Alligator mississippiensis: one gene and its partners. The protein of the gene in region 2 binds, or shares a complex with, the protein of the main gene of each other region. Links are inferred from orthologs where the notes say so. Each region holds a gene or a part of one and is shown on either strand. Other genes may lie near its edges.

Evidence for each region. Proteins that work in one complex are often made in the same cells at the same time.
Region 1: XAB2 (region 2) and PRPF19 share a complex: the UniProt entries of both Homo sapiens proteins name them as parts of the XAB2 complex. The link is inferred for Alligator mississippiensis from reciprocal best matches to the Homo sapiens genes XAB2 and PRPF19.
Region 3: XAB2 (region 2) and PPIE share a complex: the UniProt entries of both Homo sapiens proteins name them as parts of the XAB2 complex. The link is inferred for Alligator mississippiensis from reciprocal best matches to the Homo sapiens genes XAB2 and PPIE.

What each region holds. Positions count from the first base shown.
Region 1 is NC_081825.1:177,219,312-177,229,474, reverse strand, and holds the start of PRPF19 (pre-mRNA-processing factor 19), read left to right. Parts: upstream 1-5,071; 5' UTR 5,072-5,444; coding exon 5,445-5,463; intron 5,464-8,754; coding exon 8,755-8,904; intron 8,905-9,284; coding exon 9,285-9,361; intron 9,362-9,517; coding exon 9,518-9,659; intron 9,660-9,932; coding exon 9,933-10,006; intron 10,007-10,096; coding exon 10,097-10,159; intron 10,160-10,163. Other genes in the region: TMEM109 (transmembrane protein 109), read right to left, coding at 285-673, 2,004-2,106, 3,823-4,088, 4,242-4,290. UniProt on the Homo sapiens protein: Ubiquitin-protein ligase which is a core component of several complexes mainly involved pre-mRNA splicing and DNA repair. Required for pre-mRNA splicing as component of the spliceosome.
Region 2 is NC_081831.1:24,939,341-24,949,958, reverse strand, and holds the start of XAB2 (pre-mRNA-splicing factor SYF1), read right to left. Parts: upstream 4,599-10,618; 5' UTR 4,473-4,598; coding exon 4,422-4,472; intron 3,876-4,421; coding exon 3,727-3,875; intron 2,656-3,726; coding exon 2,532-2,655; intron 2,008-2,531; coding exon 1,810-2,007; intron 1,252-1,809; coding exon 1,117-1,251; intron 798-1,116; coding exon 633-797; intron 1-632. Other genes in the region: protein PET100 homolog, mitochondrial, read left to right, coding at 4,821-4,847, 5,377-5,463, 5,611-5,643, 5,825-5,905; PCP2 (Purkinje cell protein 2 homolog), read right to left, coding at 6,762-6,905, 9,621-9,769, 9,933-10,056. UniProt on the Homo sapiens protein: Involved in pre-mRNA splicing as component of the spliceosome. Involved in transcription-coupled repair (TCR), transcription and pre-mRNA splicing.
Region 3 is NC_081829.1:4,836,887-4,847,351, reverse strand, and holds the start of PPIE (peptidyl-prolyl cis-trans isomerase E), read right to left. Parts: upstream 5,093-10,465; 5' UTR 5,031-5,092; coding exon 5,000-5,030; intron 4,841-4,999; exon of another isoform or gene 4,647-4,840; intron 4,566-4,646; exon of another isoform or gene 4,547-4,565; coding exon 4,448-4,546; intron 3,095-4,447; coding exon 3,051-3,094; intron 2,140-3,050; coding exon 2,113-2,139; intron 1,362-2,112; coding exon 1,280-1,361; intron 232-1,279; coding exon 134-231; intron 1-133. Other genes in the region: PABPC4 (polyadenylate-binding protein 4), read right to left, coding at 9,265-9,351, 9,438-9,568, 10,017-10,110. UniProt on the Homo sapiens protein: Involved in pre-mRNA splicing as component of the spliceosome. Combines RNA-binding and PPIase activities.

The DNA.
Region 1 (10,163 bases), on a different chromosome or scaffold from region 2:
CAAGTGCCAGGGGCAATGAGGAGAAAGGCTTGAGAGATTCTAGGAGGGAATGGGTGGGGTGAAATGGGTGTACACAGAGAAGGGGCTCGGGAGAATGAATGCATTGGGCAGGTGGGGCCTGGGAGCCTACACACAAGGGAGAGACTCTGGAAGTCTATGGGGTGGCTGGGGTTGGCAGTGTGTACAAAGGGGAGGGGAGGAGCAGGGGCAGCATGAAGGCAGTGGTGCTACTTGAGTCAGTTTTTGGTATAGCATGATGGGAAAAGGCTGTCCCTCCCAGCCCCTCAATCCTCCTGCTCCAGGTCCCTGGGGGACACCTGCCTCTGGCGGTGCCGCAGTTCATCCACCTGCTGCTCCAGGCTGTGCACCTTGGCTTCTAACTGTGTCCCAGAATGCTGCGTCCTAGTCAGGCGCCCCAGCAGGGCATAGACGGTGAGCAGGGCCAGCAGCAGCAGGGCCTGCAAGGAGGGGTTGGGCACAGAGGAAATGATGAAGATGAAGCAGACCAGGAAGAAGGCCACCTTCACCCCTGTCATGATGTGGCCCAGGATGTTCAGCACCAGGCCCAGCACCAGCGACAGTAGCCAATAGCCAAACAGCGCAGCCAGGCCCCACAGCAGCAGAGTCTGCACATGGACAGGGTCTAGCTTCAAGGTCTGCATCACATGGTCCCCTGGAGGGAGAAGGAAAGGGGTTAGAGGTGCGTGGGTGTCCCAGCACCGGGCTGGCACTTCTGGGATAGGGCATCCCCACATCAGGGCTGTCCAAATGGTGGCCTACAAGGGTTTAGCACAGGGGCAATTAATTATTTCGGGCAGAGGAACGCTTACTGAGTTTTGACAAGCCATCGAGGGCTGCATGGCAGGCAGCCAGGGGCAGATAAACATGAATTTTCTATATTTTTTAGGGGCCCCGCAGGCCGGATACAATAGCCTGGCAGGCCACATCCAGCCCGTGGGCTGCATTTTGCCCACCCCTGGTTTAGCATGTGGCCCACACGCTCCTGCCTGGCCGCTACTCCAGTCCCTGCTCTGGCAACAATGGCGGGGATCTATAGACTCTCCATCCCTCCTCCGACTTCTGGTTCCTGCCCCCCAACCCTCCCTCCCACACCTGCTCTTGGGGGCTGTGCAGCACAGCAAGGGCCAGGCTGTGTGCTTGGGGAAAAAAAAGAAGCCAGGCTGCCCACACTGTGTGCTACCCCCACATCATGTGTGGCTGGGAGAGGGGTTTGCACATGTGATGGGGGGAAGGGGAGGGAAGTCAGTTCAGCTGTGTGGCAGGTAGCTCCTCCAGCACCAGGGTCCGGGGCCTGTGCTGCATGTGGTCCCTGGCTACCCAGAAGCTGGATGACTGCCCTATTTGTTGCCCAAGTGATGTTGGGGCAGGCTGCTCCTGAAGAGAGCGGCATAATGGGAGTCGAAAGGGGAGTGGTGCGGGTGGCAAGAGAGCTCTCTCCAGTGCTGGGAAGAGAAACCCTTGGAGAGAATTGCTCCTTACCAGATGGGAGCCCCTTTTCTTTATTTAGGGATAAGGATCAGGGTTAGCCCATTAAGTACTGGAAGGAAAGTAAAATTGCTCTCCCCAGATGATATGGGCTGTCAAGCCTGAGTTGACCCCTCCTATGCCACAGGCCTTGAAAGGGGAAGCTCAGACACCCTTGTCTGTTGTGAGGGATGGGACTGAGGCCCTCACATACTCCAGTGAAAGACTGGTTTTCAGAGAAACACATCTCTGCCCCAGAGACAGGGATGCGGAACAGCCTTCCCAACCTTCCACAGATGGGGCTGTGGAAGGGGGCTTCAGGGGAGTGGGCACTTAACCAGAAAACCAGAGATTTGCTTCCTGCTCTTAATTCTGCCTCTGCTGTGAGCAAGCTGATGCTTCAATTTCCCCTCCCTCCCTTTGCCTGGGCTTTTATGCAGTACCCAGCACAATGGCGCCCTGCCCTCAGGTGGGGTCTCTAGGCATTAATATCATCACACAGATAGAAAGCAACTTACCATTCATGCCAAAAGCACTAAGGATCTGTCCCATGATCTCAGATAGGATGATCAGCCCTGCAGAGATGCCATTGGAGACAATCCAGAACATGGCAGAGATGGTCTGCAGGGAAGAGAGAAATTTCAGTCCCTGCCATGTGTTCAAAGACACCAGTGGGGAGAAGGGAGACAAGACCACTTGCGTATGAGGTTTCAGGGGCCATGAGAGAGCTCTGATAGGAACCAATGCCTGGCTGGGTGCAAATAGCCCTCGCTGGTTGTAGGTGCAGCAGGAACCCACTAGACATAACTTACAGCAACCCCAAAGATGCTTTAACTCCCCCCCCACAGGGGCTGAGATGGCTTTGTACTAGGAAAAGTACAATAGTGGCCTCAAGTCTCCCCATCCCTACCTTTTGGATTTGGTGCCCAGCTCAGCTGCAATTCAGCTCAGATGGATAAGCTGTGTAACCAGTCCACCTAACAGATGGCAGAAACACCCCAACCAGAAACCAATACTGCCAGCTTCAGAGCCAGCTGGTTGGTGCTTCTTTCAACACAGTGTATGCAGACCAAACCATGGTGTATCTATCAATGAAACCAATATAAGTTGTCACATATGCATGCTCCAGCAGGGAGACCACTGTAGCAAAGCCATTGTAACCCTATCCCTGCATCCCACAGGATTCAAGTTACAACAATTTAGTTCCCTACAGAATCATGCAGACACAACAGTTATGCTGTCACAGCTGACATAAGCTGCAGAGCGGAACAACTCCTCCCCTTTTAAAACGGTTGACAGTTAAATCTGTCCACAGCCTGAGAAGTGGGTAGCTTCCTGAAGAGGTAAATCTGTGCTGAAAGCTTGTTCCCATGGGGCCAGAGTACTGTTCAGCCATCCAGCTGGCTCCATCGTCAAGGAGCTCTGCCTGAAATAAGCAGCTGATGCTTCTATCTTCTAGCCTGTCACAACAATATCTGAATGTCTATTATTCTTAGTTTTACCTAGGGAAAATGGAGGCAGTTTCAAACCAGACTCCTTTGAGAACTAAATGACCTGCCAGAAGTCAAGCAGGAAGCTGGCAGCAGATAAAGGCTTTACCCTGGGTCTCCCAAATCTCAGGCTCGGTGCCTAACCCACCAGACTACCTAGCCTCTCTACTCCTGACTTGTGCCCTTCACGGCCCCTATTAAATGAAGCCTTATGCCCCTGCTGGAGGGTGGGGGTGGGTGTGTAACTGTTACTTGCCCAGGAGATAAGCTAGCTAAGAAGCTGCAGGAGCTCATTACAGACAGAACTACAACTGGAACCCAGAGGTCTAACAACAGCGCCACATCTCAGTCACTTGGGCACATGCTGCCTTTTTTCAGAGCAGATACCTGGAGCTAAAGTGACTCAAACCTCCCTCGGTAGCAGGAGGCTTAGGGAAGCAAGGACTGGCCAGCACAAGCTGCATAAGAAATTTCAGATCAATAACTTTGCTCAATGTTAACCTTGATATATGTAGCACCCAGCTTTTATCTGGTGCTTTTAAGCCATAGCCTCAACATGCTCCACAAGGGAAGTTGGCATTATCCCCATCTTACAGATGGGGAAACTGAGGCAGGGGAAGGCAAACTGACCTGCCCAAGGTCACTCAGCAGGCCAATGACAAAACTGGAAACCATGTCTCCAGAGTCACAGTCCAAAGCTCAAACTGGACTCTCTCACTGGAGCTCTTTGAACAACTTTGGCAAAGCTTAATAGCTATTTCTCTAACACCGGCAGAGGGGGGCAAACTTTGTGCACAGAGACCTTCACCTCCACCCTCTTCCAGCCCCTTTGGAATTCCAGCCTTACCTCAGCCACCATCTGAACAGCCTCCTGCCCAATCATCTCCTCCAGGGTCTCCTTCATGGCCTGACCCAAATGGGACAAGAAGTCAGTGTGGACGGGTGCTTCTTTCCAAAGCTTGCCAGACCGGTTCTGAGCGCTGGCCACATGAAGGAAAGCGGCTGACATCAGGAGAGCAACAGCTGGTCGGAGCAGAAGCTGGCGGCAGCTCCAGGACCTGCAATCCCTTCCCGCCATCTCTCCAGCTCTTCTCTCTACACCAAGAAGCCCTGCTGAAGGAAATGAGAGAGGAGAGATGAGTAAAGTCACAGACAGTAACAAAGCTGTAGAAACCCAGGATCCTCCTGTCCTGGGGTCAGAGCTATCCTGCCCATGGGGAGGGCCACCCTGGACTGCCAAGAGGGCAAATGCACTCCCCGCAGTACCAGCATGCTCCCTTGTCAACTGAGGATCCTCCACGGGCCACTCTCTCATTACTGGCGCTTGGGCCTGTCTCCGCTCCCAACCTTTTGTGTTTCCCAACGACTGGCGACCGGAGGCAGCTCCTTGCGCTGTTCCCCAGCAGCCGGCTGCTCAGGCTGACTGAACCTGGGTCTAAGAGCAGGCACCCGCACCCACGCCACCGGCCCTTCGTTTGAGAAGAATCCCAGGAGCCAGGGGCCAAAGGTCAAGTCTGCCTCACTCCCACTTTGGGCAGTGACCTCAGTGTGGGGCCTGCAGAGATGGAAAGGACAGCTGGGCCCCCCGCAGCAGGTGGGGGGGTGACACACAATCCCTCTCCCACACGCCCTGCTCAGGCCTGCCCCTGGCGCAGTCCCAGAAGCCGACACTGGGGGGAGGCGGGGTGGAGAGAGATGCTTGGGCGCCAGTGCTGGGCGGGAGGGCGGCACCATGCGGGCCCCCTCTGCCACTGCCTGCTGTCCCCACACCCCAGCAAGCCCAAGGACGGGGTTGGGGGCGGGAGCAGGGCCTCGGCCCAGCCACGCGGGGACCGGGGGGGGAAAGCACACGCCCCCCCTTGAGAGCTCACCCCAGCGCGGGCGGGAGTAGGGGCGGGGCTGGGCTGAGGGGGCGTGGCTTTCTCAGCGGTTGGAGCTCACCCCTCACCCATGCGGTGCACGCTGGGAGCTGTAGTCCTTCAGGGAGGCAGTGACGTGAGGGGGGAAATTCGCCCAGTGAATTCTGGGAATGACGGTTGTGGGTCGGAAGCCGCCTCGCGCGCGGGGCATGACGGGAGCAACAGGTCCCACGAGGGTCTCTTAGGCGCCGCGGGCGCTCGGTTGCCACGGCAACGCGCCGCCGCCCGGGGCATGCCGGGAAGGGAGGCTGTGCTCGGTGGGATTCGCGGCCTGGCAGGCGGAACTGGTACACTGGTCCCACAGGTCGCTGGCCGCCAGTGGCAGCTCCCCGCTCCGCCTCGGGGCGGGCCCCCCAAACACATTCGCAGACGGAAGTGGTCGGCGCGGCCCTGCCGCGGGGCTTGGTGGGAGGACCAGAGCGAGAGGGACCGTCCCCCTGTCCCCGCGTCCCCCTCGTGGGCCTGGCACACACGCGCCAGAAGCAGAACCCCGTGACCCGGAAGCAGAAACCGGAGCCAGAGCGAGGCGGGCTCGGGACCAGCAGCCGCCATGGCCCTGATCTGCTCGAGTGAGTGCGGTGCGGCGCGGGGGAGCGAGCGCGGCCCCGTTCCCTAAGCGCTCCGGCCGGAGGCGCTGCCACCTTTCCCGCGCTGGAGGCTGCGGCGCGCAGCCCCCCGGGGGCGGCCGCGGGGCGGGTCGGGGTGGGGAGCGGGGCCGCCCCGCAGCCAGCGGCCTGCTTCTGGGCACCGCTGTCAGCAGGTCCCGGGGGCGGCTGCGCCCCGAGCAGGGAGAGGCGAAGCCCCTGCAGCCCGTGTCAGGCCGGAGCCGGGGGAACGGGTCTTCCCGAGCCCAGATGTGGGGATGGTCTGATCCTGAGCGCGGGGCCATGGCCCCCCTGGCCAGGAGCCTCCGGTCTTGGTCCCAGCAGGCGCACTGACACAGCCCAACCCTGGGACAACCCAGAGAGTTCAAATACAAATCTGTAGTGTACTTCTAGAGGGTTGAACCAAATCCTGCCCTTAATGTCCCCCCCACTCCTCCCCCAGCCCCCTGGGGGTCAGCCAGAGAGAGTGCAGCGAAGGGCAGTGAAAACCCGTGGCAGGGCTGGGGCATGTGACTTGTGAGGAGCTGAGGGAACTGGGTTTATTTCATCTAGAGAAGAGGAGACTAAGAGGGGATTTAATAGCAGCCTTTAACTACCTGAAGGAGGGTTCGAAAGAGGATGGAGCTAGGCTGTTCTCAGTGGTGACAGATGACAGAACAAGGAGCAATGATCTCAAGTTGCAGCAAGGGAAGTTTAGCTTAGGTATTAGGAAAAACTTTCTCACTAGGAAGGTAGTAAAGCACTGGAACAGGTTACCCAGAGATGTGGTGGAAGCCCCATCCTTGTAGGTTTTTAAGACCTGGCTAGAGAAAGCCTTGGCTGGGATGATCTAGTTGGGGATGGTCCTGCTTTGAGCAGAGGTTGGACGAGATGACCTCCTGACGTCCCTTCCAACACTCACTTTCTGTGATTCTGTCATTTTGCCCTAGGGTGAAGGTTCAGCTCATTGACCGCTCCTTTGATGTGGAAACAGTCGGGGTTGAAGTTTGGGATGTGTGGCAGTTTCCACCCTAGTTCTTTGTTCAGCTTCAGACACCCTTCCCAGATGTTCCCTCCCCTGGCCTAACATTTTTCAGCATTAGCTTGAGATCAAAAGTTAATTTTTAAGCAATACGTGATCAACATTGTCTTAGCTCAGGTATGAAAGTGCCAGAAAAACAGCTTACTTAGGGCCCTCCTACACATTCCAATTAAAGCTGGAAAGAAATCAGCTATAGAGTTGTTATAACTTTTCAAGAACTTTATGGCTGGTCTAAATGGGTTGTGCGATTAAACAGTTAATTGTGTAAATATATGTAACATGTAGCAGGGGCTACAGGAATCTGATACATTTTCCATCTTACTGTGACTTTTCCTGCTGATGGGATAGGAGAATGTCTCTGGGCATGCAGACGAGCCTCTGAACTAGTGGCTCGTGTGCATTTGTATTGTGCAGTGATTCTCAATTAGGGTGCTGTGCAACCCTGGGTTGCCATGAGTCATTGGTGTAGTGTGTTACCACTGGGGATGTGGTTTATGATTAGGGCCCCTAGGTGTGTCAGTAGTATCAATAATGATGAGGGGGTTGACATACACACCTGCCATTTGGCAAGGCACTTGGAGTCCTTCCTGGTTGGGCAGGAACAGTGTGTGTAAGTGCTGATAAAGGTACCACAGTTCCCCTGTGGTGGGTGCAGACTCCAAGGGCTCCATTGGCAGGATATTGAGGGCAAAGTGATGTACATTGCTGAGCCCAAGAGGTTACTTGTTAATTATGTAGATATGTATGTATACACATGCATGTATGTACCTACACACATCTCCCCTGCCCCCCCATATTTTTCCATAGTGAAGCTCCAAGCTCAGCAGACAGACCCCTTCTCTCTCATAGAGATGCACTAAGGGTAGGAGAAAGAGATGCTCAGCTCTTATATGATACCTGTCAATGGATCTTGCATAGCTTTACACAGAAGGGCAGTACTGTTATCCCTCTCTTACTGGCGGCGGAGTCTGAGGCACCGAGAGAGGAACGACTTGTACAGGGTCACCTGGCAGTGGCCTATAGAAGAGCTCGGATTATGACCAGCTCTTTGAAGGAGTGCTAGTTAGTGCTAGGCCATACTGCCTTCCTGGTCAGGCTCAGAAACGCAGGGTTTTCTTTGCCAGACCTGTGACTAGGTAGAATCCCAGGTACTTTGCTAGCCCCAGGACTCAGAATTGAAACCAGGTCGTCATGGAAAGCTGCTCCTACCAGTCCTTGAGGCTGGACAAAATTTCAGAAAACTTCCCCAATAGCTCTTCCTGTTCTAACCCTGAGTACTGTACTGAAGGTTTCTTGAATACAAGATAAGTCCTTTTTTTTTTTTTGTACCACATTAAGTAAACCATTTACCACTATCCTGGGCACATCTCTTAGTAATATTAGTAGGACAGGCAAACTGCTGTTGCGATCTATGGTACAGACAACACAGCAGCAGAGATCAATATGTGTGGCATTTTAGGCTCACTTGAATTAGCTTCAGCATTAACTGTCTCACCCTCTAAAGAAAGCCAAGCTGGTGGTTTGAAAGAAAATGAAGAGGCCAGTGTTTCTCTAACTGGGATATATGAGAGGAAGGAACAGGACAGTGTCAGGAAGGAAAGGGGAAATAGAGAAAAAAGATGAAAATATGAACTCAGCAGTTTCTCTTAGGGTGTTGGAGAGGTAACGATGTGGTGAGAGTGATACAGTGTTGTCTAGTATAGAATCATGATACCCAGCACTATAAGAAACTTAAAATAAGGTATGTGATACAATTAAGTTTGAGAACAACTGGAGCTGTGAGCACTGCTAGACTGCAGGTGTTGCGGGAAGGTTTTGATTATAGAAAAATAAAGTGGAAAAGGACCACAGGATGTTCCCAACTCCAGCCTGCTTCTCAAGGCAGCATCATACTTTTCTAAACCAGAAGACAGGTTTAGAAAGCAAATGTTTGTCTAACCTACTCAAACTTCCCAGGATGGAGATGCAGAGGTCAGTGAAGATAAACTTGAGTAAGGATCACAGTAGCAACATGCAAAAAGATGTATGTTGCTCTGTGTGTTATGAGGCTATGGGAAAACTTAACTGATCTCTTGTGCAATCCTGGGAGGCTGAGAGACTGGTTGTTTTATTTATCCTCCCAGGGCTCCCATGTTGCTGAACTGCCCCAGGATGTGGGAGGGGATTCATGCTGCCTGAATTACCCTTCCTGCTTTAATGCCACTCGTGTCTTGTCTGTCTCTGACCCTTTGCAGTTTCGAATGAGGTGCCTGAGCACCCCTGCGTGTCTCCAGTGTCAAATCATGTCTATGAGCGCCGGCTGATTGAAAAGTATATCGCTGAGAATGGCACTGACCCTGTGAACAACCAGCCGTTATCGGAAGAGCAGCTTATTGACATCAAAGGTACCAAGGGCAAAGGAGAAAGGGGGGGGGGGGGGAGGGGGGCAAACCAAGGGGACAACGTTTGAGCCCCTGAGCTGGTACTGTGATTTGGTCACTTTGCTCTGTCTGGTGCTGGACTTCTAGCCTGATAAGCAAGTGAGACACCAGCCCAGATGCTTCAACACAACATAATAAATCCCCTGTATAGATCCACAGTCCACCTGCTACTGCACTAATCACAAAACGACAAATACGTTGAGGGTGTGGCTGGATCTGGATTAATGGAATGGGAGCAGAGGTGCAGGTGGATGAAAGAGGTGCCTTTAAGGAGAGGAAGAGATGGATAATCAGGTTCATCCTGTCTGTTGGCATTAATGTCCCCCTGTGTTTCTCCTTCACAGTTGCCCACCCAATACGACCCAAGCCACCCTCTGCTACCAGCATCCCGGCCATTTTGAAGGCCCTCCAAGATGAGTGGGTAAGTGCCTGACTCCTTCTTGCCATACAAACTATGTTGGGAAGGCAGCCCTCACTGCTGCTCTGAAGTGAGGTCACAGGATCCCCTGTCCGGAGTAGGCAAAAGGAACTTGGTGAGCTGGCTCTGATTCCCCTCATGCTGTGGTTCCTTCTGCAGGATGCTGTTATGCTGCATAGCTTCACGCTTCGCCAGCAGCTGCAAACCACCCGCCAGGAGCTGTCACATGCGCTGTACCAGCATGATGCTGCCTGTCGTGTCATTGCCCGTCTCACCAAAGAGGTCACCGCTGCCAGAGAAGGTAACACGGGGGGGGGGGGGGGTGTCGGCTGACCTGCTGAGGGCTCTGTGCCTGAGCAATGGGGGCGGGGGCGGGGCGGGGCGGGTGAAGGGCATTTAGACTTTGGAGGCTGGTGGGAGTGAGGAGAAGGAAGGGTTTAGCACTATGGAGCAGTGAGATGCTGGTACAGATGATGCAGGGGAAGCAATGCTGTGATGATACTATTGTTCTGTTCCTCTGAGCCCCCAGACAGTTCTGTTTCAACCCCTTGAATCTGTGTTTCTCTCTTTGCAGCCTTGGCCACTCTGAAACCCCAGGCTGGCCTCATCGTTCCCCAAACTGTGCCATCTGCGCAGCCTAACGCTGCGGTGAGTCCACCCTGCATGGATCCATCTCCACATCTCTTTTTTTTCTGTTTCCTCCCCTGGATTTATTGGCCTCTTCTTTCTCCCATTTAGGGTGCTGGAGAGCCAATGGACCTGGGAGAGCTAGTGGGCATGACCCCCGAGATAATCCAGAAGGTAA
Region 2 (10,618 bases):
ATTGTCCTTGTAGCACTGAGATGCAGCTGTTTCTGGGATGGAATGTGGGAGAAGCCTCAGCACCACCCCCCACCCCTATCTGTCCCTGAGATGTGACCACTTCTGGGGTGAAATATCCTATAATGCTTCAGTACAAAATATCTGAGCCCTGCCCCAACTACTCCAAGCCTCCCCTTTCTGTAACACTCCCTGTCCCTAACATGTAACCATCTCTGGGGTGGAACTTGCCATAACACTGTAGCACAGGATGCCTTAGCCCCATCCCCACTTTTAGGCCCCTCTCCTTTCTGTGACACTTCCGGTCTCTATAGTGCAGAGAGGCAACTGCTTCTGGAATGGAACATAGGATAAAGCTACACTGTAAGGTACCTTGGCCCACCCCTTTGTGACACTCCTTGTCCCCAAGATGCAACCACCTCTGGGACTGAACGTCTCTCTCATCCCTTCCTGCAACACCTGTCCCTATGGCACTGAAATGCGACCACTTCTGGGGTGAAATGGGGGATAACACTATGCTGGAAGGTGCCTTGGCTGCGCCCTCACCCCAGAGCCTCCACCCCTTTCTGGGACATTCCTTGTCCCCGAGCTGTGACCACCTCTATGGTGAAGCACACAGCTGCTCCCAGCAATACCTTCTCAAAGTGGCCGCTGCGGATGTAGTAGTCAGCCAGGGAACACCACAGCTTGCCCAGCTGGTCGGTGAAGCGTGTGAGGCCCCCACGAATGATGGCCCCCACATTTAGTGACTTCACCTTGTCGGGGTTCTGCGAGATCAGGTCACACAGCTCGTGCCACAACTGTGGGGGGGAAGGGGCAGGGTGAAAACGGAGTAGGGAGGCAGTCAGGGGGACAGGCTGTCACTACCCCCTGCACTGCTCAGGGGCAGGAGGGGATAGGGCAGCCCCGTCCAGACCCAAGGCATCTGTCCCGCCCCATGGTCCCATAAAACCCCAGCCCTGAACCTGCCCAGAGCCCCACCCTAGGGATCCGCCTTGGCCCTGACCAGATGCCAGGATCCCTGTGCACCAGGCCCCACCCCAACCTTAGGAGCCCCACCCCACCCCATCCATTCTCCAGGACCCCACCCCACCCAAAGATCCCTGCTCCTACCCCCACCTGGTAGTTGGACTTGCCCTCCTTAGAGACGAACTTGTCATCATTGACGACGGCTGCCAGGCGCAGGGCAGCCTCATCCAGGCGGTCGATGGAGCGCAGGTACTCGATGTACTCCTCTGCCCCCTCTGGGCTCAGCTGCAGGAGGGCACATGGATCAGTCCAATCTGGTCATGCATCCCCAGGCCCCCCAAATCCACCCCCCTGGATCACCCCTACATATCCCACCTCCACAGCCATGTCCTCCCAACACCCCCCAAAGGCCTCCAAACCTCTCTCAGAGTTGATAAGGACCTTCCAGTTCCGTCTCCACCCCCCAGGTTCCCAACCCACAGTTGACAGGGGCACCCCAACACCCCTCCAGGCCCAACAGGGGAGGCCCTCTCCCCAACCTGGACCCCCCTGACCCAGCCCAGAGCTGACAGGGACCCACCAGGCCCTTGGCTCCTACCCCCATGGCTGACAGCACCCCTGCCAACACCCCCATGGGCCTCCAAACCTACCCCACAGCTAATAGGGAACCTACACCTGCCCCAGCTCCCATCTCCCCATGGGCAGTAGGATCTCCCCATTACTTCCTAGGCCCAACAGAGCAGCCCCTCTCCATTCCCCAAACCCAACCCACACCCAACAAGGACCCTCCATCCCACAGCCGACATCCCCCAACAAAGGGAGCAATAGGGGGCCAGGCCTCACCTTGAGGTAGCGGCGGTAGACACGCACGGCAGTCTCAGGTAGCGGGTGCCGACGCACAAAGGCCAGGTAGAGCGGCCAGATGCGGTGGTGCTGAGTGATGGGCAACGCCCGTAGCGCCCGGTCGAAGGTGCGGCGCGTGCGGGTCACACGGCACTGCTCCGTCAGAAACTGGCAGTAGTCCAGCCAGATGCGTGGCATCTGTGGGCAGTGCCCCGCACCTCATAGCACTGATGTGAGGGGCATGGGGCACGTCTCTGTGCCCCCCAGCCCTGACAATCCCCCAAGGCTTGCTGTGACAGCCACAAAGTAGACTGCCCCCTCCCCACCACTATAAAGATGCCTGTACTATGGACACCTATGCAACAAGTTTGATCAGATCTCAATGCTTCCCTGGAGCCAGGTGCATGGGAGGGGGCATAACCCTCAAGGGGAAAGCCATCCCCTGTCCCAAGTGGGGCAGAACGAGGCCAGAAGCAGGGCTGGGGTCCCTAACCTGCACCGTTCCTCCCCTGGCCTGCCCTGCAACCACCCTCCCCAGCCCCAGAGGGACCCAGCAGCCTGCCCAGTATCTCCCCAGCCCCTTCAGTGCCCGCAGCTGCCCCACTCTCCCCACCCCCCCAGTCCCTGTGCAGCCTCAACCTGCTGCATTCTCCCCAGCCCCATGCAGCCCCCTAGCCTGCCCCACTGCTCCTCAGCCCCCCCCAGCCTGCACTTCCCCCTACCTTATGCATGAAGACAAGGGCACGTTCATGACAGTTGTTCACCTCCTCATACGCAGGGTCGGTCACACACCGGTTCTTCACCTGCTTCCGCCGTTGCTTCAGGTAGTTGTACCACAGCTTGTAGCTGCAATGGGGGGGCTGGGACTGTCAGCACCATGGGGGGGGGGGGGGGGGGGGGGGGGGGGGGGGATGTCCCTGGCACCTGAGCCCTGGTCCAATGAGCCCCCCACACAACGGTCCCCACCCTCCACTGGAGCTGGCCCCACAATGCAGGGATGACCAGACCTCATGTGGAAATGTGGATGGTGGCAACTGCTCCCTGGGATCATTGGCTGGGTCTGGAGGGTACTGCACTGCCCGGGGACGCTCTGTCCCTCAAATATCTGCCCACCTGAGGGCCCTGCTGCTCTGAGCTCCCCCTGGACAGGGGTGACCCTAACTGCCCCTTCCCAGATACCCACCTGCCTAGGGAGCCCCTTCTCTGAGCTCTCTGTGCCCCCTGTCACCTACCTACCTAAGCTTCCCCTGCCCCAAAGCTTTTTCTGCACACCCCACGCACCTACCACCTGGATACCCTGCTGCTCTGACCTCCCCCTGGACTAGGGGATGGTCCTAAATGCCTCCCCCTCAGACCCCCAAATCTGAATTCCACACGTCCCTGCAGCTCTCCAGGCACCCACCTACCCAGGGCCCCCCGCCCCAAGCTTTCCCTGCCCCCCCCACCTACCTGGGGACCCTGCTGCTCTGAGCTCTCCCTAGACTGGGGGTGGCCCTAAATGCCCCCCCCCCCCCCCCAAATAGCCACCTGATTGAGGACTCCCAACTCTGAGGTCTCCATGCCCTGCCAGCCCCCTTCTGGCACCTACCTACCCAGAGCCCCCCTGCCAAGTTCTTCCTGCCTCCCTTTGCACCTGTCTCCCCAGGACCCCAGCCCTGTGGGGTCCCTGCCCCTCCCCCCCAATACCCCCTGGGGACCCTGCTGCTCTGAACTTCCCCTGGACTGAGTGGCCCCCACACTCACACACACATCTTGAATACACACATGCCTAGGACCCCCAGCTCTGAGCTCCCCATGCCCCTGCAGCACCTACCTACCCAGGATCTCCTACCCCGAGTGCTCCCTGTCCCCCCAGCACCCACCTGCCCAGGGCCCCCGGCCCCAAGCTCTTCCAGCCCCTCCTCCTCCAACACCCACCTGCCAGGCAGCTCCTTGAGGGCCCGCTCGTAGAGCAGGTTGAGTGCGTGGCGCGGTGCACTCTGCTTGAACTCGATGTAGCGCATCCAGCACTTGACGGAGAAGGGGTTCCGCAGAATCTCCTCCTCATACTGAAGGTCCTCCTCCTCCTGCCGCCAGCGCATGCTTGGGTCAGCACGGTGCCCCCACCCCCGACCTCCAGGCAGTGAGAGTGGGGCAGGGTGCAGAGCAGACAGGGCTGGAGGAGTTGGGGGGGACACATGGGAGCAGGGCAGACAGCGCTGGGGGTAGGGCCAGGGGGAGGGGCTGAGAGGAGCACATGGGGGTAGACCAGACAGTGCAGGGGTGGGGCAGGGGTTGGGGGGGAAAGCGCCAGAGATCCAGGGAGAAAATACTGCGGGGACAGGGGCACGTCAGGCAGCGCACTGGGGGGCAGGTCCAGGGAGTTACAGGGGGACACATGGGGGAGGGGTTATGGGGCGACGCAGACAAGGCTGGGGGGCAGTAGGGGCGGGGGGGGTGATGGCGGGGTCAAAGGGCAACACTGGGGCCACAGGAGGTCACTGGGGCAGGGCTGGGTTCAAAAGGCAGCCGGGGGGGCGAGGCCCAGCTCAGGGGGCCCTGGGTGTCCCGGGACGAGGAACACCCCGCCCCAGAAATGACGCCCCGGCTCCCAGGCCCCACCCCGCACTCACGAAGACGAGGTCGGTCCGCCCCACCGCTCCCGGCATCTCCATATCCGGCATCGCGACCCCGCCAAGCTCCGGCCTCGCCCCGAGCAGGCCACCTCGCCCCGAGCAGGCCGCAGCGCACTGAGATGATGTCTATGTCACCCTCCTTCACGTCACCGCCCTTCGCCCGCCTGTTGGCCGCTTGCGGCGAGAGCCCGCCCCCCAGGAGCTGGCCGTGGGCTTCCGGCCGCCATCTTTCCTTTGGGCAGCGGGACAGGGGCGTCGCCTCGCTGCTGCCATAGCCAATGAGTGCCGCCATCGCCGAGGTGCAAACCAATGGAGTTGCGGGATGCGGGAGGGTGGAAGCGGCCGCCGCGGGGCGGGGAGAGGACGGGCGGAAGCGGCGGGCGTGGAGCCGCGGCCATGGGGGTGAAGCTGGAGGTGTTACGGGTCGGTCCTGCGGCCGCGCTGGGGGTGGGGTCCGGGACGACTGGGTTCCGCCCCGCCCTCCCCGTGCCAGGAGGACCCAGGCGTCCGGGTCCCTGCCTCCCCCCGGGCCTTTCAGACACCAGTGAAGCCCGGGCCGCCAAGGCTGGGCCGATGCTGCTGCCTGGGCTGAGCCCGGGGGTCCGGGCGGGGGCCGCTTCCCCTTGGTCAGCGGTCGGGGGTTTCGCTGTCCCCTGAGGTCTGCGGTGTATCACCCCCCCCGCGCTGGGCCCTGCCCGCCCTCGGCCTCCCCTGGGGCAGGGTCGGGGCCGCGGGGCCCGGACGGGCCTGGCCCAGCTGGGACCCCGTGCGCCCGGCCCACCGGATCCGTGTCCCGCCGGGGCAGCCCCGTCCCAGCCTGGCCATGGCCCAGAGATGCCCATGGGCTCCTGCACAGCCCAGGAGCCCGGGGCCTGTTGGCTGCTGCCCCGGCTCCCCTCGCTGAGCTGGGGTCTGGTACGCTGCCCCTGCCCCACGCTAACCTCCCCTGCAGATGACGCTGTACCTGTCCTTCCCCGTGGCCATGTTCTGGATCTCTAACCAGGCTGAGTACTTCGAGAAGTATGTCATCCAGCGCAAGGTGGGCAAGGGGGGCAGGACTCCTGAGTTCCGGGGGGCGGGTTCCCCTATCCCTGCCCCTACCCCAGTGTGGGGACAGGCTGGTGCAACCCCGGCCGGGCCAGTCTTTGCTCAGAGGCACCTAAATCCTTTCTCCCTTTCTTGGCAGAGAGAGATCTACCCACCAGAAGACCCCCTCCAGGTGAGCCTACTCCTACTGCTCTGTAACCCCAGACTGGCTTCAGGGGTGGGGGCATGCCCAGCCCCAGAAGTTTGGGTTGAGGGGCGGCGGGGTGGGGGTGGCTGCTCCATCAGATGGGAACTGTTGTGTTCCCTCCCCCCTGGCCAGTTACCCTTTTGATGCTCTCTCTCCTCCCCACCAGCACCAGCAGATGGAAGCCTTCAAGGAACAGATCCGGAACCAGCAAGAAGAGCGGCGGCTCCTGCAGGCGCCTCGGAAATGAGGCTCCCAAGGGACACCCTTTCCCCACACCCCAAGAGGCTTGCAGGGCTCAGCCCCTTGGATGGGTGCTGCGGTGGGGCACAGGGCTGCAGAGGTGTGATAGGGCTCCCCATTCCCTTGGGGCCCCCAGTGGGTAACAACCCTCTACTGCCTGTGAGTGGCCCCTGTGTTCCAGCCATTCCATAAATAAAGCTGGAAGTTAACACGTTCACTCTTGAGCCTAACAATGCTGCCGCCCCTCTCCCTACTGGTACCAGCCCCGAGGGGCTGGGGGGCTTGGAGCTGTAGCAAGACACTGTGAAGGAGCCGGAGCAGCCTGCCTACCCTTGCCTCTGCCAAGCTGGTCCTTGGGCGGTCCCCTCACCACTCCCACCGTGCCCGCACCCACCAGCACCACATACACACACCTGCTTTCATCAAAGACTAGTTTATTGTAGTGCTGGCATGTGCAGAGGGGAAGGGGAGACCACCCCCCTCAACCTTCCAGCCTTGGGGTGCAGGGAAGAGACCCTCAATACCTCCCAGCCAGGCCTTGGGCCCCTGCTGGGGGAAGGGGATCTGCCCCCACATCCAGGGGTTAGGGCCCCTAGTTCAGACCCAAGGTGCTGCAGCGAGAGGCCTGGGCGAGTCTGGGGTTGGGATCACTGGGGTGAAGGGAGGGCACTTGTGGGACCTCAGGGTTTAGGTGGGTGGATACTGGGGCAGGGCCTGGAGCTCATGGGGTAGCTGCTAGAAGGTAGGAAAAGTATTGAGGTTGGAAGGGGGTGGGTGAGGGGCATATTGAGTTGATGGGGGTATTATGGGGACACAGGTGAGTGGGGGGGCTTCTGGGGAGTGTTGATGGAGGGTGGGAAGAACTAAGGCAGGTGAGGGGGGCTGCGGAGCCAGGCACCAGTGGTCTGCAACTGGTGCTGGTGGATGAGGGTGAAGTAGTCTTCGGAGGGTGTGATGGGAGGGTCCAGGAGGGCCATGGTGTTGGGGTGGGCGGGGGCCTCGCCCTCCTGCAGGAGAAACACAGGCATCAGTGTGAGCTGGACCACACAGACATACACTTGGTGCCCAGATGTCAGCAGCCCCTGGTGGGGGGTTCAGTTGGGGGGGGCCCAGCTCCCCCAACCTGGGCCCTGGCCCAGGCAGGCAGTTAGCAATATGGGCACCAACCCCACCCTAGTCCCTGCTCTTGGGCAGGGGGGGGCAGGTGCTCCCCAAGGCCTGGCACTGCTGGTCAGAGCTTCCTGGGGCACCCAGGGCTGATAGTGGAGAGGGTAGGCACTGTTAGCACTGGAGGCTGCACATTGCAGGGATAACTGCTGCCACCCCAGCCCCCCCCCCCCACTCCCCAGCTGTTGTTCTGCATGTGTACATGTGTCTGTACGCACATTTGTGCACGTTTATATATGCATGCACATTTGCGCATGTATGTGCAAATGTGCCCACATCAGTATATGGGTGTGCATGCATTTGTGCAGGCATGCATGTGTGCATTGGTGTATACATGTGCCTGTGTCCAGATGTGTGACTCCATGTAAGTATGCATCCCCCATAAGCTTACCCGACCCACAGGCTGACATGGCCCTGCCCCACCGCACCAGAACTGCACCCTGCTCTGGGACCCTCCCACCCCATCAGCTGGCCAGGGATCTCTGGGGGCCAGGCCCCAGCATTAGAACATCCCTGGCTTGAGGGGATTATTGGGGGTGGGGGGCTCAGGCCAAGCTCCGCATCCAGCTCCTAGAGGGGGGTGGAGTCATCCCCCCACATGGGACAGATCCCCATGGGTACACTTGGGGGTGGGCAGGGGTTAGACCCCCACTGGCCAGAGAGGAGGGACTCTGAGCCAAGCTGAGAGTCTGAAGGGGGGTGAGCAAGTGTGTGGGTGAATGCCTGAGCGTGCATGCACGTGATGTGCAGGTCATGGTTGTGCGTGTGTGTGTGTGAGAGAGAGCATGCCTGTAGGCACTGTGCTTGTCATGTGACTGTGTAAGGGCGTATCCATGTGGTGTGCGCCTTGGGTTAGTGCAAGCATATGTGTATGTGTATATTCACATGCTGTGTGTATGTGAGTGTGTTCACATGCTCTGTAGGTGTGTACACGCTGACTGCATGCATGTGCAACATCCTTGTGCTCCTACCCCATGTGCAGTTGTTTGTACATGTGTACAACACCCCTGTGTTCCTGTCTTATGTGCCAGTGTGTACAAGTGTGTGATACCCCTGTTCTCCTGCCTCACTTGCAGGTGTGTACATGTCTGTACACATGTGTGATGCACCTGTGCGGCTACCCCAGGCTGTTTCTAGCCAAGTGACCCCCTCCATTGCCCTCAGTCCCAGCCCCCCTGCCCCCCCGCCGGCGCTACATGGACACAGAAGCGGGGCCAGAGCAGGTCTTTATTGGGTGCGATGTACACGCAGGCAATGGCAGCAACACTCACTTCTGCAAAGAGGAAGAAATGTCCATGGCAGTGTGCATGGGGGGGAAGCTGGGGGACGGACAGAGGAAACTGGGCACTGACCCTGCCTGGGCACTGCCCTCTGGCCTCCCCACACTGGGCACACATGGAGGCACGTGGACAGGGCTGCAGGAGGCAGGAGCAGGGGCCCCTTCCCGCACCCCAGGGCACACGTGCACATGCATGCACACACACGTGTGCATGTGTGTGCACATGTGCATGTCTGCCCCTGTTGGACTGGGGCTGCACTGGACTCGTGTGTGTGTGTGTGTGTGTGTGTGTGTGTGTGTGTGTGTGCGCGTGCGCGCACACGTGTCTGCCCCCTGCTGGGATGGGGGGGTGCATGCCCATGTGTACACCTGCACTACAGTCAGGTCTTTACATGCATGCAGATGTACACATGGGCATGTGTGTGCTGCTGCCCCCTGTTGGGTGATCCGTGCTCTCTATATATGTGCATGTATACATGCATGTGTCCCCAGCTCAAGCTCTATCCCCCAGCCCTAGCTTCTGCCTCCCAGAGCAACCCATGAGGACACAACATGACTCTGGGCAACACCCCCCTCCACCCCCCCCCACCCCAGTGACAAGCACACGCATGCCCAGCCCCAACAGACAGGACACATAAATGGAGCTCCAGATGGGCACAAGGGAGACAGAGAGAGAGTTGGTTAGTGGGTGCCTGGCTGGTTAAGGAGCTAGTGAGCTGGTTTGTGGTCTCAACTGGTTAGTGGGATGGTTACCTGGTTAGGGGGTGGGTGAGCTGGTTTGAGGGCTCCCAGCTGGTTAACCTCAGCATGCAATGTTGATGCCAGGGCACAGTCAAGCCCAGTTACCTAGGGGGGTGGGGCACGAGGGGTGACTGCCCTAGGTCCCAGCTGCACCCAGGACACACAAAGGGCTCAGTAGCAGCGTACCCTGGGCACCAGAGACCCTGGCAACTGGTCACAGCCCAGGCAGTACCAAGCAGGGCTGGGGGCGGCTGTGACCCTGGAGCCAGGACACCTGGGTTCCATCTCTGGAAGGTTGAGGCAGGGGTTCAAGGGGGCTGGGAGCCAGGACTCCTGGGTCCCCACACTGCTTTGGCAGCAAGGCCTACTGGGTGGGCACAGGGGTGGGAGCCAAACAACTGGGTTCTCTCCCCACCTTGGGAGCAGAAAGGACCCTCCCACCCTCCTCCCACTCCAAGGGGGCACAAAGCCGGAGGGGAGGGAACACAGCCCTGCTCAGCACCCCCACCATGGCACACGTATGGCCCATGCTCACCTTGGGCGGGGTGGGGGGCCCACGCTCGGCGGGCTGGAAGCCAGGCAGGTGGGCAAAGCTGACGCGCTGGTCGTCCATGCGCCGGCCCTGGCTGCTGGCCACCAGTTCCAGGAAGGAGTCCATCTCGGGTGGGGGGCTCGGGCTCTCCCCTGCAGGGGGGGTCAGAGATTAGACAGGGGGTCCTGACTATTAAGGCCTCCCAGAATGCATCTGGGTAGGCCCCCACTGCCCCCCAAGCCCCCAAGTTAATTTTTTGCCCTACCAAGCTCCTTCTCCCCACCCCCATTCCCACCCCACACCCCCGGGACTCACGGGTCTCAGGGCTGGGACCAGCTGAGGCGTGGGTGCCGGGCAGGTGGCAGCGTTGCTCATCCATGCGGCCGCCCTGCACGTGGCTCAGCAGATCGAAGAAACCCTCCTGCTCCGGGGAAGCCGACTGGGGGGGGCAGGGGGGGTTGTGTGAACCCCTGCACAGAGCCCAGGGCCCTGGCAGCAGGTCCCAGGCACTGTTAGGGCACAGCACAGCACAGCCCTCCCCCTGCTCCCAACCCTGCAAGGGAGGCTAGTGCTGAGCACGGAACCCAGGTGTCCAGGCTGTCAGCCCCTCCCTGCTCCAGACCTCACTTCTCACCCACAGCCAAGGAGGGAACCCAAGCATCTGGGCTTCTAACCTCCTTGCTCTAACACTCCCCGACCTCAAGACTCCATGCCTTTCCCAGAGATGGGAGAGAACCCAGGCATCCGTGCTCCCAGCCCAGCACTAACCTTGCCCCCCACTCAGCCCCAACCTGCACCCAGAGCTGAAGAGTAAACCCAGGTAGGTGTCCCAGCTCCTGGGCCCTCCTAGCTCTCATCTACTGGATCCCAGTCTCAGCTCCAAGGAGATCCAACCAAGGCCCAGAGGGCAGGATAGGAGCCAGGTCCATGCCCCCCCACCCCCAACCGTGTGGCTCTGGGACCCCACAGAGGGGATAATACTTCTCTCTCCCCGCAGCCAA
Region 3 (10,465 bases), on a different chromosome or scaffold from region 2:
ACCTGAGAAGCAAAGGCCCACCTACATCCTGAGTATTTTCATCATTTCATCCCAATGCAAGAGGAACAAGCCCCAATCCACCAGCTTATCCTTCCTTCTCCACTTCAAGAAGGCCAAGTCTGTCTGTCTTTACCTCCTGTGTGTCTGCTTTGGGAGCTTCTGCTCCTGCTTCTGTATTCTCCTCAAGGGTCTTCCCCGAAAATTTCTTCAACCAGTCATCATCCGACCAGACTGCAATGGAGAAAAGAGGGGCTCAGAACTGTGGGGGCAAGAACCTGGGACAAAACCAAGCCACTAGGCCTCATGTTCACCTGTTACACTAGCAACCAGGTCTAAACTCACTGTGGGCTAGGCAGCTTTAAGGTATCTTGAGAGCGGGCGGTTTGACCCCCAACAGCATAGCTCTAAAGGCAAGGAGTGTGTGAGACAGAGAACTACCTGCCTGCGATAGAGCAACAGGATGGGATCATCACCAACAAGAAGGGCTGTCAAGACTTTCAGTCAAGTCAAGCCTCCTACAGCAGTTACCTGTCTACGTTATCTGGCAAGACATGCTTGCCTATTTCTTCCTCAAAAGGCTTCAAGCCGAGGGGACATTTTCCAAATACTTCAGGAGCTTAAGAGCCCAAATGCCATTTTCAAAAGTGATATGGGTGCTTAGAGGCTGGTTTCATTGAAAGAAAACCATTTGACCTCAGACACTTAGAGCTAGCCACCCAGCTGTGGGAAAAGGATGGTACCCAACAAGCCCTCTGTGCTCGTGATTTGTGTGTAAGCCTGTGTAGAGGATCCCTGTTTCCTTTAGCCTTCTGGTCTGTTTGGTTTGAACAGCAGAGGCCAACCTTTTTGACAGGCATGCCACAAATTAGCCCTGCATCCTCCCCATGTGTTTGCTCAGTTATCATGGCACCTCCAGAATCCACCCAACTCCCACCTCCCAATCCCTCCTGGGCAGAGTATTTTACATCCTCTTTTGCATTTCCCTTAAGGCAGATACCTCAGATCCACACAGCCTTGGCCCACATGTTGCACGCCAGTGATGGCAGCCAGCTGGGAAAGCATAACCGCAAGTGCTTCCTTCTTGGAGGAACTAACAGCCAGTTCTGCCCCTGAGCTCCCCATCAAATCCCCAGGCCAAGAAACAAGAGGCAGAGACAGGAGATAGAAGGCAGAGGCCTAAGCAAAGCAATGGGGAAAGCAGCCCAACAGCCAGCAGGGAATCCACGAGGACCTCCTGACTGAATCCGGAGACACTCCCCTCTCTCATCCACCAACTCACCAGGTCTGGAAGAGCCCTCCTTAATCCGCATTGGCTTGGCCAAATTGACACGAATCGTCCTGCCAAACAGCTCTGATTCGTTCTACAGAGAGAGAAGCAATCAACGGTGAGAAATCTCCCTTCCCTCAGAGCCTTGTAGACCTCAGGGGAAGACTAGGCTATGCATCTCCCCAATCCCCTTCCCATTGTCATCAATACCCCAGGCACTCTTAGCATCGGCCAGGACCCCAGGGAGCAGGGTTACACAAACACCACAGAGAGATGGTCCCTGCCCCAAACAGCTTATCACTGAAGCGCTAGAAGAGATAGCAGATGGACAAACTCAAGGAGATGAGTAGGCAATATGGTGATGTGACAGGCAGTGCCTTCAGCAAGCCGGAGGCCTATCTGTAGTCTGAGCCCTGCACAGGAGACATCTTCCTTGAGCACATTCTATAGCACTTCTCCAGTGCAGTGACCACCCCCACTTTTGCTGGCAATTCCCTTTTTCATCCAAGCACTGGCCATCAGCAATATAACTTGCTGGAATTCATTCTGGACTTGCCCGGGGGAGTTCAGAACTGAGGGAGCTATCAGAATACCATCCCTCCCACCTGAGAAAGGGGCAGGAAGTATCAAAGCCACGTTTCCCTTGCTCAGGCTAGAAGGGACGAGCTGCTGCCACAGGCGTTGGGGTTTGTTAGGTAAGGAACCAACAGGAATAGCCGGGCAGCACTGAGACAATGTACCTCGTCCCACCAGACTTGGAGGACTGCAGAAGCACAGGCCACATGGCCATCGGAATGGATGAGACTTTCCTAACAGTCAGGATCTGACAGGAAAAAAGCCCTTACCATGTTGTCAATAGCTGCTGCCGCATCCTAAGGCAAAAACAAGAAAGAATATTTTACTGCTAATTCAGCCCTGACGTCCCTCTAACCCTGTAGAAAAGGTACTTAGCACCTGGCCTGAAGTTTGGGTTTCATTTCACTCCACTGTCCACCTTTGGATCAATTTTTACCCACAGGTTTTCCTTTCTCCCCAGCACTAGCCCTGTAGCTTCCCGCTGCATCCGGCTAGGACCTTCTTAGTTATTTTTAGCCACAAGGTCTGGCAGCTGTGCAGCTTCCTCAATCCAGGTTTTTTTCCCGATCTGCATAAGATTCTGGTCATTTATCATGCTAATTTGGGGTCGGGGGCAGATCTTGGGAAGGGAGTATTGGACCAGGAGCAAAGGGCAGTTCATAGGGCCCATTAACCTAAAACATCGCTGTTAGCACAAGGGACTGAACTAGCCCTGGAGGAAAGCCAACAATGTGAACCATGGAGAAGCTTCTGAAGAAGCTGTACTCCAGTCCGAAGGTTGAAAAACTGCAGAAAAAAATAAAAAGAGAATCAAAGAGAAGTTGGGCTGGAAGGGACCTCCTGAGGTCATCTAGTCCAGTCCTCTGCTTGAAGCAGGATCAGCCCTATCCAAGCCATCCTATTCAAATCCATGGTCCAACCTCTTAGCAAAACTACAGTCAGCCCCAACACAACACCCAAGAGGTAACCCCCTAATCTGTGGAAGACCTCATAACAGTGGGACCAGAGAAGCAGAACAGAAATTCCACAGAGTATCATATAGAGCCAATAACACTAAAGAGTTAGTCATAAAGTGTAGAATCCTATTTCCACTTCAACCATAAAACTCCCATTGGATTCAACTGACACAGGATCAGGTAAAAAAAAAAAAAATAAAAAAAAATAAAGAAGAGATTTCAAACTGTGTTAAAATGTGCCCTTTTCTCACCTCAGCCAGCTCAAACTCAATGAAAGCAAATCCTCGGTGCTTCTCTGTGGAGAGACAATGAGCAGTTACCTTCACAGTATTACCAGGAAAACTTTGCCCCCATGAAAGTCAAAGCAGGAGAGGTCTGGTGCATTAGTTGGGCTACCAAGGGGAATCCACGTCTATGCTGCTGCCTCCATCTGAGAGTTTAGATTCTGTTTCAGAGACTTTCTTTCTTACCTGCTGGTACAAAGCTCCACTAACATCAAAGGACTCTATTATTTCTATCCTGCGGGAACATTAAACTACTCTTTATTATGATGTTAATGATGCTAAAATATCCAGCTAATTAATTCTCCAGTAATGAATTTTAACATTTATTTGTCCCACAGGGGGGGAAATACCACAAACAGGAAATCTTAAATGCAATCCTGAAATAAAGTCCCAGCACAGAGCAATCTGCAGCTATACAGAGCCTCATTGAAGTCAATTCTGTGCAGATGAAATTCAGTGCAGGGTCTAGGACCTGGCTTACAAATGATGCGAGGCATTGTTAAGCCCTGTGGGTTGCTAATTAGAAAATAAATGAATGCACACCATTTAAAAAAAACAAACATGAAAAACACACTTGGTTAATCTACTTGGGAAGCTGTAATCTAGTTGTAATTGTTCATGCAAACATTTCAGAAAGTCTTATAGGTTTGGCCCAGCAAAGGAGCTTTAGCAGTAACATCTGCTAGCAAATCTTTACTAAAAGGCAGGGAGTGGATGCAGGGGTGTGAGGGTGTTAAGCTCAGGGTGGGTTTTCATGATTCAGATACAGGCAACCCCCGCTTGGTGCTCTTAATTGATTCCTGAAAAACCGAGCGTTAAGCAAAACTGAAAGTTTTGGACGACCCAAGATAGCGACCGCAAGCGTTTTTAATGACTCCAGATGGCAACCGCAATTGCTGAGTGCCAAGTGAAACCAGATATCAATTTTAAATGAGCATTATAGCGATAGCGTCAAGCAGAAGTTGCCTGTACTGCTCTGAAACCTCTGAAATGGGTGGAGTTTGCTGGAAACCTCAAGCCTGTGAGGTTTCCCTCCTGCTCCCAAGCCTGCACGTGCATCCTGCAAATGCAGACCGTTTTAAGTGACAATAACGCCGATGCAGCAGAAAGATGCTGGGGTGCGATGTTTCAAAAGTGTTAGCGCCGGTATTACCATCGTACAGGGCTTCGTTTGTCCTTTTAGGAGTAATCAAACTCGCTCCCCAGGCTCGAGCTTCCAAGACTTCCTGGGACGCCGTGAACCCCAGAGCGAGCGCCTTGCGAAGGACATCCGACACTCCGCCGGGACACCGTAATATTACTCCTGAGGGAGACCCCGGCGCCCCGTGTGAAACGAGCCGGGCCGAAAGCCGGAGCCCACTCACCGGTTTCGTAGTCCAGCGGTATCTGGATGTCGGTGATGTCTCCGAAGGGGATGAAAGCCGCGTGGAGAACCTTCTCGTCCACCTCCTCGGCCAGGCCGCCTGCAAACCAGAGCGAGCACTTTAGCGGCGCGACGTGTATAATCACGAACGTTTCCCGGCGCCGAAGAGCAAGGGAGGCCGCCCCGCCAGCATCCCCTACCTGCTGCTTTCGTTCACGTCTCGTGGTGCCAAAGGCTGTTTTTAGGCTTGAATATGAATCCACTCCCCAGGGCCCACGAGACAGAGACAGAGACAGAGACAGAGACAGAGAGAGAGAGAGAGAGAGAGAGAGAGAGAGAGAGAGAGAGAGAGAGAGAGAGTGTGTGTGTGTGTGTGTGTGGGGGGGGGGGGGGGAGGCGCAGCCCCCTCACAACACGGATTTCCAAGCGCCTCTTTGAGGGCCCGTCGCAGGCACGAGTCCTGCTGCCTTCTGGCCTCGCACCGATGTTCACTCCAATATTCACAACTGATCCCACACGGCCCCCCACCCCGCCCCGGGGTCCCGCTCCTCACCCACGTACAGCACCCGCTTGGTGGCCGCCATCTTCGCTCCCAGCAGCCCCCGCGCGGCACCCCGGGACGTTGGGCGGCCCCGCCCCCGCGCAGCGCCGGGCGTCGGCCAAGGGCGCGTGCGCGCTTGCGTCACGCGGCAGGTGCGCCCCCCTCCCCGTGCGCATGCGTGCGTCTATACACACCCACGTGTAGGACAGGGGAGGTGTGCGCGACACGCGCGCACTCGCCCCTTCCGCGTCTGCACGTACGTTGTATAGCACCGGCTTTTGGGAGATTCGGCTCGTGTGTACACACACTACATATACACCATGCACACAATGAAGCTCACAAAAGCTTGTGCCAAACTATGTAAATATACAATATAGGTGTGTATCCACACCCACTGCAACAAGCTGTTGTGCTATATATATGGTACATAGATAACCAAAGGATGTGTGTGCACATGCACGTGTGGTGTATTTAATATATATGCATACACAGCTGAAGCTCACATTAGTTAGAAGTATAGACTCACCCAGTGTGTGCACACCTAGTATACATAATGACATCATCTATACATACATATGTAGCTGAGGTGTAGGTTGTAGCGGTGTTGGTCTAAGGACATAGGCAGACAAGGTTCCTTGGGTGAATTTGATATCTTTTATTAGACCAACCCAAATGGTTGGAGAATAGTTATTAAGCAAGCTTTTGGGTTCAAAAACCCTTCATCAGGCTAAAGCTTCAGCAGTTGGCATGTTCTTCCTGGATGGAATACGTAGCTGACACTCAAACGTTTGTGCTTGTGTGTGTGTCTATATACACATATACAGATGATGTCATTATGTATACTAGGTGTGCACACACTGGATGAGTCTATACTTCTATCATATAATGTGCATCTAGGAGGTAAGGATACACAACACACACCATAGTACAAACTTGTGAGCTTCAGCTGTGTGCGCTACCCCCTCCCCTTCCTTCAGTCTATAAAGTATAAATCTCATCTGCCCTGCCTTCTACCACTGTTATTATACCTAACTACCCATTGCTGAAAGGATAATACAATTCCCCCCCATCACCAGTTTTCTCTCACCTGTAGGTTAAAAATCTCTGACTCCAAAAATTATCCATATTTTTTTCATTGAGTTGATGTTTTGTGAGACCTGCGGCATAAACTACCTGGTACGGCTAACTAGGAGTTTGAGCAGCATCTAATGAATTGAACTTCAGCCCATGAAAGTTTGTGCTGCATATTGCATCTTATTTAGCTGGTCTGGAAGGGGCGTAGATCTACCCTGCTTTCTGCCTGCCTTCAGACCAATACAGCTAACTGCCTCTAACCAGGAGTCTGACAGTAGTTTCTCTGACGAGCTTCTGCGTAAGGCAGCTGCACAGCAGTTTGCTGAGGCATGGTTCGGATTAATCCCAAATTAAGCAAAGCAGCTAGGGCAAATTTATGAAGTGCAGTTGGAAAGAAAAAAAAATGCATTAGAAGTGGTCATCTCAAAGCAGCAGGTCCAAGGCACAAGCTGGATTTCTCAGGATATCTACCACTAGATTGCTCAGTTATCTAGGACACAGTATTGAAACTGAAACCTTCCTTCCTTGATTTTCAGCTTACCAACAGGAGACCCAAGGCACTGCCTTGCTGTGCTTCTGCTCCGCAAGCTTGTTCTATTCTTGGGCTTGGACACAGACCATTAAGTACCAGATTTCTAAACAGGTTTCTTGCATATTTTAACACCATGGTTTGCTCGTAACAGTGCAGCAGACAGGCAAAATGGCACATCAGTCTTGCATTTATACCCCCAAAATCAAAAGAACCATTTGCACTTTTCTAGCACCACTCATCCAATGGTCTCAAATGGTCTATAAACATGAATTAAACCGCTGCTCCCCTAAGCAGGCACCCTTATTTTACAGCGTTAACTGGTACGTGCTCAGCATTTCAATGGTTTTCCTTTAGTAAAATCTTCAAGTCATTGGACAGTCTCAATTCCTCCCTTCTGCCTTGATCTGGGCTGTGCTTGTGCTCTCCTGTATTCATGTTTATACCACACTCCATGCCAAAGGCTCACCCCAACGTCACAAAGCACACGCTAGTTCTACTGTCACTGAAAGGCAGCCATCTATCTCTAAGGTGCAGCATACACTTACCAGCGCAACACTACATTTGTGACTATTAAAAGGAAATGACAAGGTTCTAGGGACATATAGGGGTTGAAATACCACACAGAGATGAAGAAGAAATACAAAAGCTTAACATCAACAAAAACAAGAAGGAACTGTCAGATTGAAAGGAAGAGACGAAAAGAACACAAGACTTCTATGCACATTGACTTGGGTCAAGGGAGCACTGTTGATGGCCGATAAATACCTGTCTTCATGTATATTTCAGAGTATTGGGTGCATCTAACTGTTAAATTGGTTAGTTAAGTTGGATTTCTTAATAAAGTATTAAAAAGTGGCAGTATCCAATTAAAAGTGTATCTCAGTTCCTCCTACACAGTATGTAGTCATGCAGAATAAAAAACTACCAAAATCACTTCATCTTGTAGACTGCTGTGGGATTTTTAAATGAAAAGTGATCAATCAAACCCTGTTTCTGTGCTTAATCTGAAAAATGTTGCCCAAGACCACCTCAGAGGGCAGGGGTCCACTTAAATAAACTATCAGTTACAACCACCTTAGAGTTTCTTTGAAGATCCAAAACAGGGCCCAGTTTGAAGTCATAATTTAAAGTGGAGGTTTGGCCTAGCCACTTGTTAGCTTAAACAGAATAATAACAGGATTAAACATTTAAAACCACAATTCAATCAGACAGTAATTACCTAACAGTTTACTTCTGACCAGCAGAATAAATCCAGGATGGCTAAGCACACCGTGGGGAAGAGACCCATTTAGTGAAAGTTTTTATTCCTTTATTGATAAACACTTTCCAGATTTTGCAAACTGGATTGTTCAGTTAAAACCAAAACCACAAAAAACTTTCAATCAGAAATCCTTAATGTCCTGCTTAGAAAAGACAAAGGTTAACTCTGTCCTGGCCACAAAGGAAAAGCTTGCAAACTTAATCCTGGTCTTGGAAATCTAAAGCTTCATGGAATTGATTTTTTTTAAATAAGATTTTAAAGGTTAATTTACAAAATGCAATATGGTTATTTGGATATGGTGCATGGTGCGGAGATCTGCAGGACAGTTAAGAGTATCTTCAAACATCTTGAGCTGATGTCTATGAAGGGGCTATTTGGCTTCTTTGCATCCTGTGCGGGGAAAAAAGGTTAGAAAATTAGTTTGCTTTTTTTCCTGCCCCCATACAGGCATCTTGGTTTAGCGCAGACTGACAGTAATTTAAACATGACCAGCCCATTAAAAATTCCCAGATAACTTCTTATTCCTCTCACCGTGTAGGTTTCTATCTACAGTTGCTGATATTATCCACCTCTCCATAACATTATGCTGAAGGTGGAAATATGAAAACTTTGTGATGAGGGAATAATTATTGTTGCAATGTCAAATTATTGACAAGCAATGGCCAAGCTGCATACCGCACACTTTTACAACACGTATGCATGGTGTGTTTTCATTTTAAGCCAGTGCCTTCTAGAATGGAAGATTTCCCATAATCCTTTACTGCCAGTGCTCTGGCAGCAGTCCTGTAGAAAATGCCTTGAAATTCCTGGTAACTCCACACACATCCATATTAAAGAACTCATAAATGAAACAGTTGTAGAAAAGCATATGAACATCCAGTCCTAGTCTAAAGATACCCATCTAAAAAGGCATGGAAAAAAGAAAATCAGAGATTCTATAAGAATCACTCGGCAACTAGCAAAACCAAGAACCACACAGCAAGTCATGCCAAGCTTGCCAAGTCATGGTGTGCACTTCGGTGCTATTCTTGTCTACCTCAGGGTAACTGTCAGGACAAGACATGGACATTAGCAGCATACCTGGGTTTGGACAAAAATTGCTCGAGGCTGGTCTCATTTTGATGAATTCTATTCCCCGACACAGGTGAATGATTTAAAGGGCTTTATGAATTCCATGTCAGCATATTTTAATCTTCCAAACATGTCTGCTTGCTGTAAGGAACTACCTTCTTTTTTATGTGCTTATTTCTTCAAGATTAAAAGTGGAAGTTTCTATTTACAAGACGTAGTCTGGCATCCGATGCCATTATACCTAACCCCACTTCTTGGCAGTTTATATCCTCCCAAACTATATTCCAGTGAATCTAAGGTTAAGAAGTTCTAACTAACACACTCACCAGTCTTCCTGGTTTAAGAGGTAGCAGCAACCACGCCCACCTTCTGGGCAGCTTCTTTCTTGGCTTGGTGAGCCTGCAACACAGCAACAGCCTCCTCCACCTAGGGAAGACAAATTGCCAGGTAAGATCCATCATCTTTAACAAAATCACTCAATCCAAACTACCTTGAGAAGTGGGAGAATTTACCTTTGACCGGAGGGATTCTGGAGACTCCAGCATGTGCAGTAGCTCTGAATTGTCAATCTCTAGCAGCATTCCTGTGATCTTCCCCGCAAGGCTGGGGTGCATAGCTTGAATCAGGGGGAACAAGCGTTCTCCTAGGAAAGTAAAGTTCAAATGGTCTTTGCAGGGTGCTCTCACAGGTCCTTTGCAGCAAGTACAGCTAACAAGGGAAGCAGATAAGCACCTATCGAAGTTTTAAACTAGAGCAAACATTAGCTTTACATTTCCATGGCATCTAATTTCCATGCCCCACCCCTGATCTTTTTTTCACTACTAGTTTTTAGGGAACACTAGATGTTTTCAAGTCTAAGTCAGAATGCCCAACTACCATCATTTTTAAGCATCACTGTATCTACACCCAAACTACTGCGTGTAGGGGCTAGCAAAACACCCCTTATTTTCACAAAAAGGAGCCTCATGCATCCCAGTTGCTTGAGACTTTGTGCTTTAAAAAGCTCTGAAGTCAAATATGATAATGAGAAATGTGTTCAGCTCCCTCGCTGTGCAGAAGGCAGCAGGACTGACTTCCGAATCATCACTTACCCAGCATCTGTTTCTGCTCCTGGGGAGGGGCAGCAGCCAGCATGGAAGCCGTTAAAGGTTCCTGTCCCTGCACGTGTACTGCAGGCTGAGGTGCCTATAAGAGCCAAAAAAGCAGCATTAGCTTGGCTGCTTTGTGTTTAAAGGGCAGTGAGACAATACATTATGCCTCTTCCAGGACACACGTCAGCCCCTAGCAAAGCCTCTACAACTGGGAAGGCCTATGCAAGGAAATCATTTCAAGGAGAAATGTGATGGAGGCTCATAGCTCCCAGCCACACAGAACCCAAGCTGCAGAAAGCAATCATATAAAAACTCAGAGGCATGTTGTCTGAGAATATCCTAAGTACAGACAGCTTTAGTACTGTGCAAGGCAGCAGTCTGCTTAGTGGAGCCAGGTAACACTAAGGTAAGAGCAGTACTAGTTTGTGGCTTATGCCCTCCAGCAGGGC